Linked DNA regions of Alligator mississippiensis. The protein of the gene in region 1 interacts with the protein of each later gene in a biochemical or structural test. Links are inferred from orthologs where the notes say so. Each region holds a gene or a part of one and is shown on either strand. Other genes may lie near its edges.

Region 1 (7,503 bases):
ACCAGCTCCACAAATGAAAGCCCTGTATGAAATTCTCTGTGGACAGAAGGGAATAACCAAACCTGGGTATTTGGCTCAAAACATGATAGGAAGCATGAATTTTAAGAGGGGTTTTGGGATTTGATGTAACTTCCCTGAGATTTTGTATTTGATGTCCAACAAAACCAGGCACTATAATTATGCCCCTCAAGTCTCAGGATTTCTGTCATATTGCTATGTCATAACATGTCTAAGATTTTTAATTAATTAAAAAAAGAAGAAAATTCAATTGGATAAAATGAGATCTAAGTAGCATGTGACTTGTGACTTAGGTGACCCTGCTTGGCACATGAGCCAGCAATAAAACGTAATGTAAATGTTTTGGTCAGTGTGCCATATATATAATGTTATTACAAAAATACATTAATTATAGACTTTCTGTATGACTGTCTCTGTTTCTTTTGGTTTCTGTCCTAACCATATCTGCCATAACATATATGGTGTGACTCAGCCACACCTTGTTCCTGCTGATCTGTTCTCCCACCCTGTTCTTCCACCCCACCAGGAGGAGTAAGCCGTGTTACAGGTGGGATGAACCCCAGCATGTAGGTATAGGAAGAAACCAGATGAATGTGTGAGGGTAGGATGTGGCACTTGCTACTTGTGTTGAGGAGTTAGAAAAGGGGTGAATGGGGGAGCTAGGGTGAACATGCCCTGACTGTCACAGTGTATAGTAACAGCCAGAAAGCTAAGAAATCTTTTGCAAAAATCTCAGATCTACAAAATCAGTCCTGTTCAACACTTAGGAAAACAGGACTGAAAGTGAAATCTGGGGTCATTGAATCCAATCCCATGCTATCACAAGGAACCACATCATCTGTAATACCTCTCATAAACTGTTCAAGCTCCATGTTAAAATTAGTTAGGTCTCCCCCCAGCCCCAGCCCACCAAGTTCTCCCAGCAGAAGGCTGTACTGGTTGGATAGCTAGAAATCTTCTTCAGGTTCCAGGCCAATCTGATTCAGGGCCAGTTCAAACCCATTTGATCTTTGTACCAATATTTTTTCTTTAAATAGCTCTTCTCACTCGCTGGTCTTTACTCTCCCCGTGCATTTAAGAGATCAATCCAATCCCCTCTAAATCTTCATTTTGTTATCTTAAATAATAATACAACTTCTTGTGGTCTCATTATGTAAGGTTCTCTATTCTTCTGCTCATTCAGTATCACTTCTCTGTTCATGTTCCAATTCCAATTTACCTTTCTTGTATAAGAGTGATCAGTTGTACACAGCATGGCAGATGACATCTTACCAACGTCTTGTACACTGGCATTAGTATTTCCTCATTTCCTCTGTCTCTCCTCAGTATATTTTATTTGATATGTCCTAGGATTTGCTTTCCCTTCCCCTCCCCCCCCCCCAACCCTGTGGCTGCATCACACTACGATAGCTCATAGTTGTTCTGTGAAACTAATGTACCCCAGAATTTCTCATCCTGTTTCTTACTGATGAGCTCTCAGGTAACAGCAGAAATTCTTAGTTCCTAAGTGCGTGTTCTTACACTCTGTATTACTGATTTTTTTCCCATTTCTTTTACTCTACTCATCAAGACCATTCAGTTGCAAATACTGTTCTAATCATCCTCCATGTTGACCAGGCTTCCCAATATTGTACTTACTCCTACTACCCATGTAAGAGAGGTTATTCATCTGGTTAGAGGTGTAGCCCTTTTTTAGAACCCCCCCCTTCCCCAACACACACACACACACACACACACACACACACACACACACACACACACCCCTATATCTTGGGATATAAATTCAAGAAAGTTTTTTGCAACTTTGATGAAAATAAACAAATATAACAATGTGTTGCTGCATAGCAAGGTTCTTGTCAGCTGATATGACATCCTGACTAGTAGGTTAATCTACCATCTCCCCTGATATACCATACCTATATCCTGGTTCTTCACTAAAGGAGCATGGGACTCCTGAAAACATGATAGGTCTCTTTCAGTCTGATTCTTCCTCTTTCTGCATGGTTTGTGGTTTTACTAGATTTGTTTTCTCGTTTCCCTATAATACCTTTTTGTGTTGGGCCTTAGATTGTGAAATAGTTGAGCCTGGTTTGATATTTTGGCCCTGATCCTGGATACACACAAATGCACACACAAACACGTGGAGTTTCAGTAAACCCTGCAGGATATTTGTTCATAGTACCTGATCTCTTTTTTGCCAGTGCACTGGAAGCTATGTAAATAAACAATAGCTTTATAAATGAACCCATTCCTAACCAGCTAAAATTGCATTACCTTTGTAACATTTGCCAATCCATACAGTGGTGGGAACAACAGCTGCCCATTCCACTATTGTTTTTTAAAGTTTAGCAGAATAATAAGTTAATGGATGTGGCTGGTGGGAAACAAATAAATATTTTGATAGGCTCAGCAAACACTACTTCATTGGGGATTTTAGATTGCACAGCTCCCACATGCAACCAGGTAGATCTGTAAACCTTCTGAAGTGAGTTGTTCAGTCTTCTCCCTCTGTAAACAGACTATCAATCAGTCTTTGTTGTTACTGGTTTAAAGAAAAGAATAGTTTGAAGCAGGTTCCTAGGGAGTCTCTGTACATCCTGTTCCTTTTTCTGTGCTGTTACCAGTGAAGGTTTGGGATTAAAACACACACACACATCATTTTAATCCCCAACTTTATACCTATTTTATATATATATTTTAATCCCCAATTTTTAATCCCCAACTATACATATGTGCACAAATGTAGGTGCACACACACACATAATCTATGTTTCTGTGTGTGTGTGTGTGTGTGTGTGTGTGTGTAGACAACATTCTTTGGGTAAATCTTTTATTAGACCATATAAAATAGTTGGAAAAATTATTTGCAAGCTTTGAGTAGAAACAGTCAGGCTGAGGAAGCGTCTACAGTCGGTCTGTGCTCATCCTGGATGGAATAGAAAAGAAATCAGAGGCCAGTATTCATGCAAGAAAGCCAGTCAGTGAAAATGTAGATTGAAGTCAGTTGGTGAGAGACAGGTAGGAGACTAGGAGAAGGGGAATGTAGACCTGGTGTGATAAGAATATAGCTGGTAAATAGTAGAGCAGTTACTTGGGGTGTCAAATGTTAGGCAGGTTATAAATCCAATGTCTATATTTAGTCCATAATTTTTTGTATCCAGTAAACTGATGAAGTGAAGTTTGTAGGCTCGTCTGCAAAAGGTGTCTTGTAAATTCCCTTTGAGGATTGTAAATTCCCTGAGAGACTGGAGAGAGTGATTTTCTTGTGAGAAACGTGCCCCCACAGGTAACTGGGTGTTCTTGTCTTCGATAGGTTCTTGGTGTGTGTTCATTCTGGTACGCACTTGTTGTTTGGTTTCTCCGACATATTTTCCATCACGGCATTTGGTGCACTGGATCCACTCATCCAGTGCACCAAATGCCCTGATGGAAAATATGCAGGAGAAATGAAACAACTGTGTACCAGAATGAACGTGCATCAAAAATCTATGAAAGACAAGAACCTTGTCTGCCCATGTCCTTAGGCTGGCATGACTACAACCTATACCCCTGATATATGTAGGTATGTATGTGTGTATGTGTATATACATATATATGCATACATACAAATATATACATATATGCATACACATATATGTCCATGTACATATACAAACAAGGTTATTTGGGTAAATGTGATATCTTTTATTAGACCCACTGAAGAGTTAGAAAATTTGTTCTTTACAGGCTTTTGGGCACAAACACCCTTCTTTAGGCATAGGGAGAGTCTCCTGGTGCTTGTCTACTCACTCTCTCACACATATACACATATACACACAGTGTGCAGCTCTAGGGTCGCCCTTAGCCCTCAGCTGGCTCATTCACAACCCTTCACTTCACCTGTGGGAATGATGATCCTCAACTGTGAGGAATTGCCCACGGTGACATGTATACATTTATACATTTAATAAATACATATGATATACACATATGCATACACATCCTCACACACACACATATATAAATACACATCCACAACCCATCTGCACACATATGCGTATACACTCATCGTTGCACATATGTACACATACACATATATACATCCACACACACATCCACATACGCTCGCCCACACATATGTACACATACACACCCACACATCCACACCCATCTGCGCGTGCACACACCCCCACACACGTACGCACCTCCACACCTATTCATATAGGCACATCCCCACAGCCATCTGTACACACATCCATCCCGATGTAACCCGTGCACACATCCATCTCTCCCCGTCCACATGCCCACACACAACACAGATACACCGATACGTATATAGACGCCCCCCACCCCCGGGCTGTGCGCTGCCCCGGTCCCCGGCGCCGCCTGTTGCGCTCCCCGGGCCGGCGCGCGGCGGCGGCGGCAGCCTGGAGAAGAGGCTGGCCGCGGCGCTGGGGCCCGGGCGGGCAGCAAAGGCCAGGCAGCGGGCGGCGGGTGCCAGCCCCGAGGCGCTCCCGCAGCAGAGGGCCCTTCCCCGGCAGAGGGGGCTGCGGCGGCGCTGCCAGGCGGGCCGGCTCCGCGGCGGGTGCTGCCCGGGCTCGCTCCGCGCCAGAGGCGGGAGCCGCGGACCTGCCGCCGCTCGGGCCGGGCCGGGCCGGGCCGGCCAGGAGCGGCGATGCCGGGCGCCCCGCGCGCCGCTGCCGGAGGAGGAGCAGCCGCCGCGGGCGCCACCTCCCCCCGCCCCGCCGTGGAGCAGCCGCGGCGGCGGGAGTGAGGAGGAAGCGGGGCCGCTCGCCGGCTGCATGGATGGACGTGTTCGGCTTTGTGCGGCTCGCCAAGCTCCCCGGGTAGGCGCCCGGCGGCGGCGGGGGGCTGGAGGGGGCAGCCCCTGGGGAGGGAGGCGGCCCCCGGCTCGGGCTTGGCGCCGGTGGCTCCTCTGGCGGGGCGGGGGTGCGGGGAGCGGGGAACCAGCAGCCTCTGCCTGCCAGCGCGCGTGGAGAGCGGCCAGGCGGGCTCCCGAGGTGCCTTCCAGCCCTCACCCCGTGCGGGGCAGGGCAGGGCAGGGCAGGGCAGGGCAGGGCAGGGCCGGCCCCTTGGCTCCCCGCTAGAGCAGGTGGCGGTGCTGGGGACCAGCCGCCTCTGGTGCTAGCGAGCGTGGAGAGCGGGCCAGGTGAGCGTCGGAGGTCCCTTCCAGCCAGCAACCCCAATGCCGGCCAAGGCCAGCTCCTTTACTCCCCACTAGTGCAGGTGGCGGTGCTGGGGACCAGCCGCCTCTGAGTGTCAGGGAGTGTGGAGAGTGGGCTACGTGGGCTCCTGAGGTCCCTCAGCCCCAGTGGAGGGCAGGGCCAGCCCCTTGGCTCCCCACTAGTGCAGGTGGCAATGCTGGGGGGGGCTGGGAAACCAGCCGCTTCTGTGAGTCAGTGAGCATTGAGAGCAGGCTAGCTGGGCTCCTGAGGTTCCTTCTAGATATCAGACCTAGTGCAGGGCAGGGCCAGCCCCTTTTCTTTCCACTCTGGGGAACCAGCTGCCTGAGTGTCAGGGAGCATGGAGAGGGCTAGATGGGCTCCTGAGGTCCCTTCCAGCCCTCAGCCCCAGTGCCAGGCAGGGCCATCCCCTCTGATCCCCACTAGTGCAGGTGGCACCCTGTGTGTTGGGGGTCCAGGGGAGCTGGGATATCAGCTTAAAAGCCAGCGAGCGTGAAGAGCAGGCTAGGTGGGCTCCTGAGGTCCCTTCCAGACCTCAGGTGCTGGGGTTTCATGAGTGAAGGAAGTCTCAGGTTGGCACACAGGGCTGGGCTCTTTCAGCTGTCCAGAGAAACTGCTCTCTCTCCTCCTGGCACCTGAAGGCTGGGCTTTAGGTGTGGGTGAAAAATGCTGGCAGAGGGTGCAGAGGCCCCATTGCAGGCTACCCTCCTGGGGCTTTGTTACTGGGTAACTGTGGGCAGATTGGCCCCTGATTGTCTGCACATTAACACCTTGAAGTGGTTTAAGCACTCTTTATGTGGCAAAAAGTTATGCCACTCCAGGGCAGGAATCTCCATCCTTGGAGTTTTTAGGACCTGGCTAGACAAAGCCGTGGCTGGGATGATCTAGTTGGGGATGGTTCTGCTGTGAGCAGGGGGTTGGATTAGGTGACCTTCCAACCCTTGTTTTCTGTGCTTCTATGATTGTGTCTGATCTGCACCACCGCGCTCCTTTTCCACTAAGGTGTGGCCACTTCCCCAAGATGTGCTGCCCAAGTTGGAGCCCTCCAGTATCCCAGGTTCTCTCACATCCCACCTAGTAGAGCAGGGAGAGAAGCCTGCCATGGGTCACCAGCTCTCCAGTGGCAACTCACAGCGACAGCTCCCAGTCCTGCCCCTGCTCACCAGGCCCCTAGGGACAAGTTACAGCTGTCCAGGTCAGGGGTAGTCAAAGGTTTCTAGACTAAGGATGTGGCTGCTCCAAACTCCAAGCTAGCACTATCACTGATCAGCATTTGTGCAGCGCACAGTGTAAGGTGTAACAAGGCCCCAAACCAGCTGAATTTCCTCAGTGAAGAGGTTTAAAAATAAGAAGCAATACCATTTTTTTATCTTCCAGTAACACAGGAAATCAGCTTCTTAGTGAGGCAGTAGAAAAGTTCTTTAGCTGCTGGATTTTTCTGCTTTTTTTTTCATGTTGATAATCTTCCTAAAGGATTTAGCTTTCATTACAGTAGCTAGGGGCATTTTGCATTTCCCTGTTTTAGTGGTACAGCAGAGAGATGGCTGGCTTTTGAGCCTTTCTTACTGGAAAGGCATGACATGTGGTAGGGGGGAAGGGGAGAGGCTTGCTACAGAACTACTGTCCATCTCGGATTTTGATACATTGCTTTTCAGAAGGACACTTTTTTCCTCCCAAAACAAATGTTACTGGGGTGGCAGCTGAAAAAAATTCTACAGGTGGGCTGGCCGAAACAGCATCTGCTTTAGTCTCTTCCTCCCATTGCTGTCGGGATTTCAGCTTGTCTGGTGACAATGCTGCTGTAGAACAGCCCCTATGGGCCTGAGCACATGTTTGCTTAATTCTGTTCAGAACAAATTTTGGTGTCATGATGCCTAAACCATGAAGAACTAAGTCTTCTCTGCTCTCATTCCCAGTATTGCTACCTCTGGGGGAGCTGCAGTGGCAGGGAAATAGGGTGGGTAATGCCCTGATGTAGATAAGCCTTTGAAGAGCAGGTCATGTGGCATGATCTTTGTTTTAAGATGTATCAAATTATTTGCTTCCCATGTTTGTTTAGGAACTGTAGTTGAAAAATCCCTTGTGTTTAGGAATTGTTACACTTGAGCTAGAACCGAGTGTAGGGCAGAGAATTTAGGGAGGTTAAGGGGACTACGCTAAGGGTCATTACATTAATGTTAAGAGTTTAGAAGTCAGGTTGCTTTCTGACAACATTTTTTTTTGCCATCTCCTATGTTTAGTTGGCTAACAGCGTTCTTAAAGAAATGGTCTGCTCTGCACAGATGCAGCTACTCGTCATATC
Region 2 (7,671 bases), on another chromosome or scaffold:
CAGGCAGCCCGCACCCCAACCGTCCCCCTCGCCATCCCCAGGACACACGGCCCTGCCGGCCCCGGGCACGGGGCACGGAGGGCTATGTGCTGGCAGGCTCGGGCCGACCGAGGAGGGCAGGACCAAGTGGGCCCTGCACGCTAGCGGGTGCATGAGTTTTGGACCCGGCTCATGCCTCTTGGTGTCTGCGAGGCACAAGCAGGGACCTGGAGGAAGCAGCCACAGTGTGCTGCGGCAAGGAGAGCTCTGCCGCCTGCGACCGAGCGTGCGGTGGGCAGGCAGCGGGCCCAGCCAAGCAGGGAGCTAACGGATGAATGACGACAGCCCCACAGATTTAACTGCATAGATGGGGTGGGGCTGACCCTGCCTCAGGCAGGGGTTGGGTTAGACGTGGTCTCCGAAGGTCCCTGCCAGCCCTGCTCCCTGAGCGCCAGGCAGGAGAAACCCCAGCCCACCAGAGACGTGGCAAGTGAAAAGTGAAAAGCAACGCTCCCGGAGCGTCACTGTGACGGGGGTGTTTTGGAAGAGGGGAAAGCCCAGGTTGTGCCAGATGCGAGGAGTGCTGTACGCCTCTCGTGGGAATAGGAGGAGCCGGAGCAAAGAGCAACGAATGCAAATCTCTAGCACGTAAACAATGCTGGGGAAAGCCCTGCCCCACAGGACAAACAGCACATCCTGGTCTGACCCGGTGAAGAAAGCTCCCAGGCAATGAATGGAGAACTCTGCCTGCACTTGGTAATTCCAAGAAATGACACAAAGCTACACAGCGACGCAAGTGTCCTTTCACTTGCAAGATGGGCTGGCTCCAAAGTTTATTTCTTGAGCATGCATTTCCCCCTCAGCACTTGGTATTACTTGCAGATGCTTCATGGTCTAAGTGCCCAATAGACAGAGCTGTACTGAAAGGTGTTTCCCCAGCCATATGTATGTGAAATGTTATGTCCCACAGGAAACAAACAGGAGAAATTACTTCCTGAGGGATGATAAGAGTGGACAGGCACAACAGCCAGAATGAGCAGGCTTTGTGCAGAGAGTCCGGGATGAGGCTTTGCACAGTACACTAGTGCTAAGATGCCCTTTGAATGGCCAGCACAGTGTCCAGCTGAAACATGGCACCACGAGGCATCATCGGGTTTGCACAGTGCTGCACAGAACTTCAAGAAGTCTTAATATGCACTGAATTTGGCACTCAAGAGGATAAAAATCCTCCTTAAAAAACACTATGGTAAAAACTGGAGGGCTGAGGCATCCGTCCAAACACAGAATCTGGACAGGAGAGAGTTCTGCAGAAGAGAAGACCGAGGGGGATTCGACAGCTGCCTTCAGCTCCCTGCCGGGGGGCTGCAAAGAGTACGGAGCTGGACTGGTCTCAGTGGGGGCAGATGGCAGGACAAGGAGCTATGGGCTCAAGCTGCAGCAAGGGAAGTTGAGGTTGGATATTAGGAAAAACTTCCTCATGAGGAGGGTAGCAAAGTGGAGCAGGTTACCCAGAGAGATGGTGCGGTCTCCACCCTTGGAGGTTTTTAATGCCTGGCTAGACAAAGCCTTGGCTGGGATGATGCAGTTGGGGCTGGTCCTGCTTGGAGCAGGGGGTTGGACTGGATGTGACCTCCTGAGGTCCCTGCCACCCTCCTTGTCTGTGATTCTGGGGATCGTGGTCCATGGGGCCTCTTAGCAACTGACCTTCACTGCCTTTCAGCCGGACAGACTTGCACGGTTGACTCCACCTCTGGAACGAAGCTTTGACCTCTCACATGCTTTGACCTGTACGTGCACCACTGTACTCACAAATGGGTTGGGGGGTTTGAACTAGGCTCCCAGCTCCAACTTCTCCCCCGGGGCCTTCTTAGGGCAACGAGCTGCTCTCAGCAGCCCTCCCATGGCAGCCCAGGACTTTGCAGACAAAGGTGGAATCACAGGATCACTCCTGCCCCGCCGGGGCAGATACTGGAAAAGCCTTGACATGTGCCCTGCTGTAGGTTACTTAGCCCACATTTCACTGAGGAGTCTGCCTCACACCAGGAGATCAGAGCCCACGCCCCCAGCATCCTTCCCCCAGACCCGGTGCACGGCTGCTCTGGGCAAAGCCAGGAGAGGCTGCCCAGCAGCGGGCTGCAAGGTGCACATGCTGCACGGTGCTTACCTAACAGGGCCTGGAAGAGCTCGCTTCGGAAGATGTGCGAGACCTTCCCGATGGAGGTCTTCAGCTGCTGCTCATCTGGAGACTTCAGAGTGCTTTGGTATCTGGTCAGGATTTCCACGGCCCGCCGGGTGTCTAGGGAGGCAAGACAGGAGAAGCACAGTTTAATCTCTAACGCTAGAAAAACAGCAGCCAGGGATGGTCTAGGTAGGCGTCTTCGGCCTGCGTGCAGGAGGCGAGCGAGATGCCTCCGGGGTCCTCGTCAACCCGACGCTGCTATGAGCCCACGCACACGAGACAATTAGACTCTGCCCCGCTCACAGCTGGAGTGGCTCTTCCACCCCTCCGTCCACGTCCCTGCTGTCACTGGGCTCCCAGCCACAGCCACATTTTGCCTTGCAGCGAGATCTGGAAGTCACAGCCAGGCACCGGCTACAGAAAGCGAGATTCGGTTTCTTCAGATTCCTTTTGAACCTGACGGCAAGAGCTCAAGGGACATGCCCACTTACCCCCAAAACCTCCAGCATTATACTGCAGGCTCCACCCACGGTACAGAGCCACCCCAGAGCTGCACCAGCACCTCCGACCTGCGGGCTGCGGCTGCCCCTGGAAGCAGAGGAGGGGGAATCCGTGTGAACCGCCCTCGGACAAATGGTGTCCCCACGGGACCCACGACCTGCATCCCAAGCTGGTCTTCATTAGCCAGGAGCGCAGCCTGGGGCAAGAGCTGCTTTCTGGGGCAGCTGGGAGAGGCCAGGGCAGGGACGTGGAAGGAGAGGCCCGGGCTGGAAGAGCAGGACTGCACTGGGAGGAAGGGGTGCAGCAAAGCGGTGGTTGTGGGGGAGGCCAGGGTGGGGGTCCCAGCACTGAACGGAGACTCGTCCAGCCTGGGGAGCTTGACCCTTCTCTGGGCTCGTCCCCGGCATGGCACCGTTAGCCCTGATGCAGCCTGTCCTGGCTGCAAAGGGCATCTCAGACAGGAGGAGCGGTTCTCACAGACCTTGAGCCCCGGGTCCCTATCAGGGAACGTTTCCCTTTGTTAGGAGGCCTCCGTAAAACAAAGAGTGCCTGTGTGAGAGGGGGAGGGGACGTGTCCAGGGAGCGGCAGGGGCTCCTCGCCTGACCTAGGAGCGAATGCAGAAGAGACGGCCTGGCCCCGGGAGCCTGGCCGCAGCCCGGCCAGGGGGCTGGGCCCAGCAGAGCCCAGACACGACCGGCTGCCTGCAGGCCGTGCTCCCCCCTCGCGGCTGCTTCGCCTTCTCCAGCGAAAAAGGTGGTCTACCAACCGCACCGGGGCATCGTGCACGGCCCAGAGGGGGAAAGGGAAGCTGGCGAGGCATGAATAATCCCTAGCACAAACAGAGACACTTGGAGCCTGCCTCTGAGCCTGCACAGCCAGGGCTTGCCCTGACCCAGGCACAGCCTGGGGCTCCCTGGCATGCCGGAGGGATTCATGAGCTTCTGCAAATCCCAGCTGAGGGCCAGCGGTGGATGCTAACCCCCTCTGCTCACGGAGCAGACGTGGCCCGGGCTGGGGCCGGGCAAGCTGCTGTGCTGCCCCCCAGCCCCGAAGGGACTTCCGTCTGCAGCCGGTCCACTTCTCGGCCCGCCAGCTCAGCCCAGCGAGAGGGGAGACCCCTGCTCACCAACAACCAGGCTGAGAACTGCAACTTCGGGGCACGCACGCAGGGTGCTGCCGCCCCACACGCCCGAGCCCTGCACCTGCCTGGGAGTGCACACCTCCCGCATCAGACCCCCTGGAGATGAGCGAGGGGCGCCTCCGCCTCGGCCCCAGGAGGCTCGTCTGGCCTGGAAGGACCAGCTGCGGGGCGAGGCGGGCGAGCGGTGCCCCGGGCCGGAGGCAGGAGGGTGGGCAGCTCTCCCATTTCACCCCTGCTCTGGAGCAGGGAAGCCAGGGACGGGAGCCCAGGGGCCCACGCTCGTGGGAGAGCTCACGGCATGCCCCTGTCCACCCGCCCTGGGCTGGCGCCAGCACGGGGGGCTCAGCCTGCACCCCTGGCCTCTGCGCACCGAGGCGGCGTCGGCGCCGAGAGGCAGGGTGCTGGGCACCAACCCTGCGCAGACGGAGACGCCTGGCCGGCCGGCTGGTCGGGGCACCCCGGACAGGAGCACCTCCTCCACGCCCCACTTTGAGAGTCTGGCCCGGACTTTGCCGGGAGGGGCCGGGCCGGGCACGGGGCGCGGGGGCCGGCGGGGACGGGGTGGCACGATGCCCCGGGTGCAAGCCGCGGGCACACCCCGCTCCGGGCCGGGCCGGGCCGGGGCTTGCCCCGCAGCGCCGTCCGCAGCCCGGCCCGGCACACTTGTTGCGCAGCGCTTCCCTCCCTTCCTTCCCTCCCTCCCTTCCTAACTCCCTTCCTTACCTCTCCTGCTAATCATCGCTCCTCCGGCCGGCGGCCGGGCGGGCAGCGCTCCCAGCCCCGCGCCGCCGCCGCCGCCGCCGCCTCCCCTGCCCTCCCTCCCCTCCCCTCCCCTCCCCTTCCCTTCTCCGCTCGCCCAGCCCAGCCCAGCCCCGCCGGCCGCACCCGGCCTCCGGCTCGGGCAGCCGCAAGGGCCCGGGCTCGCAGCCTCCTGCAAGAGCCAGGCGGGCGGGGAGCCCGCTGGCCAGCTGTGCAGAGCGGCGTGGACACCCCGGGGACCTGGCAGCGCGAGTGGCTGCGGGGTTGAGTCTGCAGAAGAGAAGACCGAGGGGATTGAATAGCAGCCGTCACCTCCCTGCAGGGGGGCTGCTAAGAGGACGGAGCTGGGCTGGTCTCAGTGGGAGCAGATAGCAGGACAAGGAGCAATGGGCTCAGGCTGCAGCAAGGGGAGTTGAGGTTGGATATTAGGGAAAACTTTCTCACGAGGAGGGTGGTGAAGCACTGGAGCAGGCTCCCCAGAGAGGTGGTGCAGTCTCCGTCCTTGCAGGTTTTTGAGACTGGACTACACGAAGCCGTGGCTGGGGTGATGTAGTTGGGGCTGGTCCTGCTTTGTGGGGGGGAAGGGCTCGGGTGGGCCTCCTGAGGTCCCCTCCCTCTCACCTAGGATCCTCCGCTTTGACTTGAAGGACTATCCGGCTAATGAAACCATTTATTTTCACTACTTTTACCCAGTTTGTTGTGTTTTTTTAAAACTTAATAGATCAGCTAGGGGTGAGTGCACATCCTGAGCAAGCTGCATTCATTTTTGCTTTAGTGTAAAACTGAACAGCACAGCCCTCAGCTCCTCGCAGCGCAGTACAGCCGCCCGTTTCTTTGTACCCAGGGAGCGATGCGTGTTGGGCTCTAGGCGATGCTGAGTGGGAGATGAGGGTTTCAGCCACGCTGCAAGGGTCAGGGTCTCCGACCGCAAAGGCTCCAAGTGCCTAGGAAGAGGCCTCTTGCTCCATCCCCAGTTTGCTCTCGTTTCCATCCAGGGCAGAGCACCCCTGCCAGTCTGCAAGGGCCGAGACGGGGGAAGAAAGGCTCGGGTGCAGCAAAGTCAAGTCACCCCGAGAGAAGGCAGTGTAGATCCATCCCTGGAAGCAGATCCAAGAGCAAAACAGCTGCCAAACCCTAGGCTGAAGGAGACTACTTAGAGGTACAAGGACCCTGCTACCTGTTCAAATAAAAGCTGGATGGAAACCAGCTCTGGAGTTGTGACATGTTCAAGCACTAATCTTATAGCAGGTTGGTTCTTTTTACAGCTAGAGAGTTGTTTTATTGGGTGATTGTTACTTTGCACATGCAGCCAGCCTAAATTTATTGTGAGATTAACCAGATCATTGTGAGATAAGTACTTTGCACTTATGGTAGGTCTAAATTTATTGTGCAACTGCCCATTAAATCACATATATGCAAGGTGTAGCAGGAGCTGAAGAGGTGCAGGACACGAAGAAGGGCTGGTGCTCTTCCTCTCCCACGTGTGTCACAGGAGGGACCACACGAGAGACGATCGTGCCCGCTGCCGGGGCCAGGCCACAGCCCTAGCTGCACCTCAGGCCACGGACAGCTTGCAAGCAAAAGCAGGAAGAGCTCGGGGCACCAGGAATCTGCTCCAGGGACAAGCCAGTTCACAAGCTCACGGCACGTGCAATACGTGCACCTTCGCCCCACTGCCACGTTCACCTCTACGTGCTTGGGAGGGCTCCTGTTCGCCCACACTGGAGCTTTTAGACCTTGGCTACTGCAGCTGTTCAGCAAAGGTTATGGGAACATTACTGCCAGGAGAGTTTCACTTTCCCTTCTTTTGTTAGGAAAGGGAGAGGTTTTCCTAGAAGTACCTCCTCCTTGCCCCAGAGGCAAGGGCTCCTTGAGGTCCCAATCCTGTAAAACTGAGGGCTTGAAACAAGGGAAGATGTTTAACCCTGAGTCATCTCCATGAGTAGCCTGGCTCCAGTTTTCTCACCCTCGGCACCAGCGAGCCAGGACATTTTAACGTTAGTCATCCTTCCTTCTCCGCGCCACGAGGTGGCAGTGACAGAGCACGTTGCACAGCACCGGCCGGCGACTTGGACTTCATCCAGTCCTTGCTCACACAATCCAGGTCTCTTTTGAAAGTGGTTTCCAAGGGTAGGAAACAAGCTCCGGCCCAGCACAGACCCATAGTGCAGAGAGCCGGCAGCCCCCATCCAGGTCTCTGCCCGCATGCCCAGGTGTGGATGCAGCTAGAGCCCAGCCATGAGTGCAAGCACGTGCGTGCCAGCCCCGCTGTACAAACCCTGCTGGGCTAGGCTGCCCCAGAGCCCTTTCACACTGAGTCAGTAACCTCTTCCCCCTCAAGACAGGCTTTCAGACCCTCTCCAAGCACGCTGCAAGGCAGGGAGGCTATGTGAGCCAGCTGACAGGCAGGAGAATGAGCAGGAGGCCGGACCGGAGGCCCAGTAACTCTGTGCCAAGGCAGGGATCTCCCACTGCAGTTACTCTACTTTTCCTCCCCTGTCCTCTGCGTAGTGCCTGTCCTTCCCCAGCAAGCAGACAAAAGCCAGCGCCTGAGCCCAGCTTCCCCTTGCCAGAACAGAAGCCCTCAGACACATGCAGCAGCAAGGTTTCTTGGTCCAGCTCAGGTCTATTTATTAACATAAATAGTTAAGAACAAGTAAAATAGACTCCCGGCTCAAAGGCCCTGCAGCAAAGCAATCATGGGCAAGTAACACTGCTTCCTCGTCGTTCCCCCGCACAGCCCCTTGCCCCAGCAGCAGGACGGGGTCACTGCCCCCGGGCCCGCCGTCCTGCCTACACAGGAGAGACGGTCCCTGCCAGCCCAGGGCACCGGGGAGGATCTAGCTGCTGGCGCTGGGCTGACGACAGTTGTGGTCTTGGCCTCTACCGGGGACAAGACAGCAAGCGAGACAGGAGCCCTCTGCTCAGCACCGGATTCGGTCCCTGTCCTGCTTCACCAGTCCCCTGCTGCTGCCCCGCCAGGCCCTCCCAGACCTCCACCGGCCCCAGGCAGCACAAAGCAAAAACATCAAGCTCATCCGCTCCTAGCGCAGGAAGGGCAGGAGCGCTCTCAACCGGCAAGGGAGAGGAGCATTGCCCCTATACTCTCAC

Evidence for each region. The genes of interacting proteins can lie anywhere in the genome.
Region 2: the proteins of FRMPD4 (region 1) and DLG3 interact in a test that uses a peptide from one of them, tested with the Homo sapiens proteins (2 studies listed by IntAct, with this or other methods). The link is inferred for Alligator mississippiensis from reciprocal best matches to the Homo sapiens genes FRMPD4 and DLG3.

What each region holds. Positions count from the first base shown.
Region 1 is NC_081824.1:326,036,219-326,043,721, reverse strand, and holds the start of FRMPD4 (FERM and PDZ domain-containing protein 4), read left to right. Parts: upstream 1-4,494; 5' UTR 4,495-4,803; coding exon 4,804-4,844; intron 4,845-7,503. UniProt on the Homo sapiens protein: Positive regulator of dendritic spine morphogenesis and density. Required for the maintenance of excitatory synaptic transmission. Binds phosphatidylinositol 4,5-bisphosphate.
Region 2 is NC_081831.1:82,909,419-82,917,089, reverse strand, and holds the start of DLG3 (disks large homolog 3), read right to left. Parts: upstream 3,003-7,671; 5' UTR 2,840-3,002; coding exon 2,650-2,839; intron 2,276-2,649; coding exon 2,144-2,275; intron 1-2,143. UniProt on the Homo sapiens protein: Required for learning most likely through its role in synaptic plasticity following NMDA receptor signaling.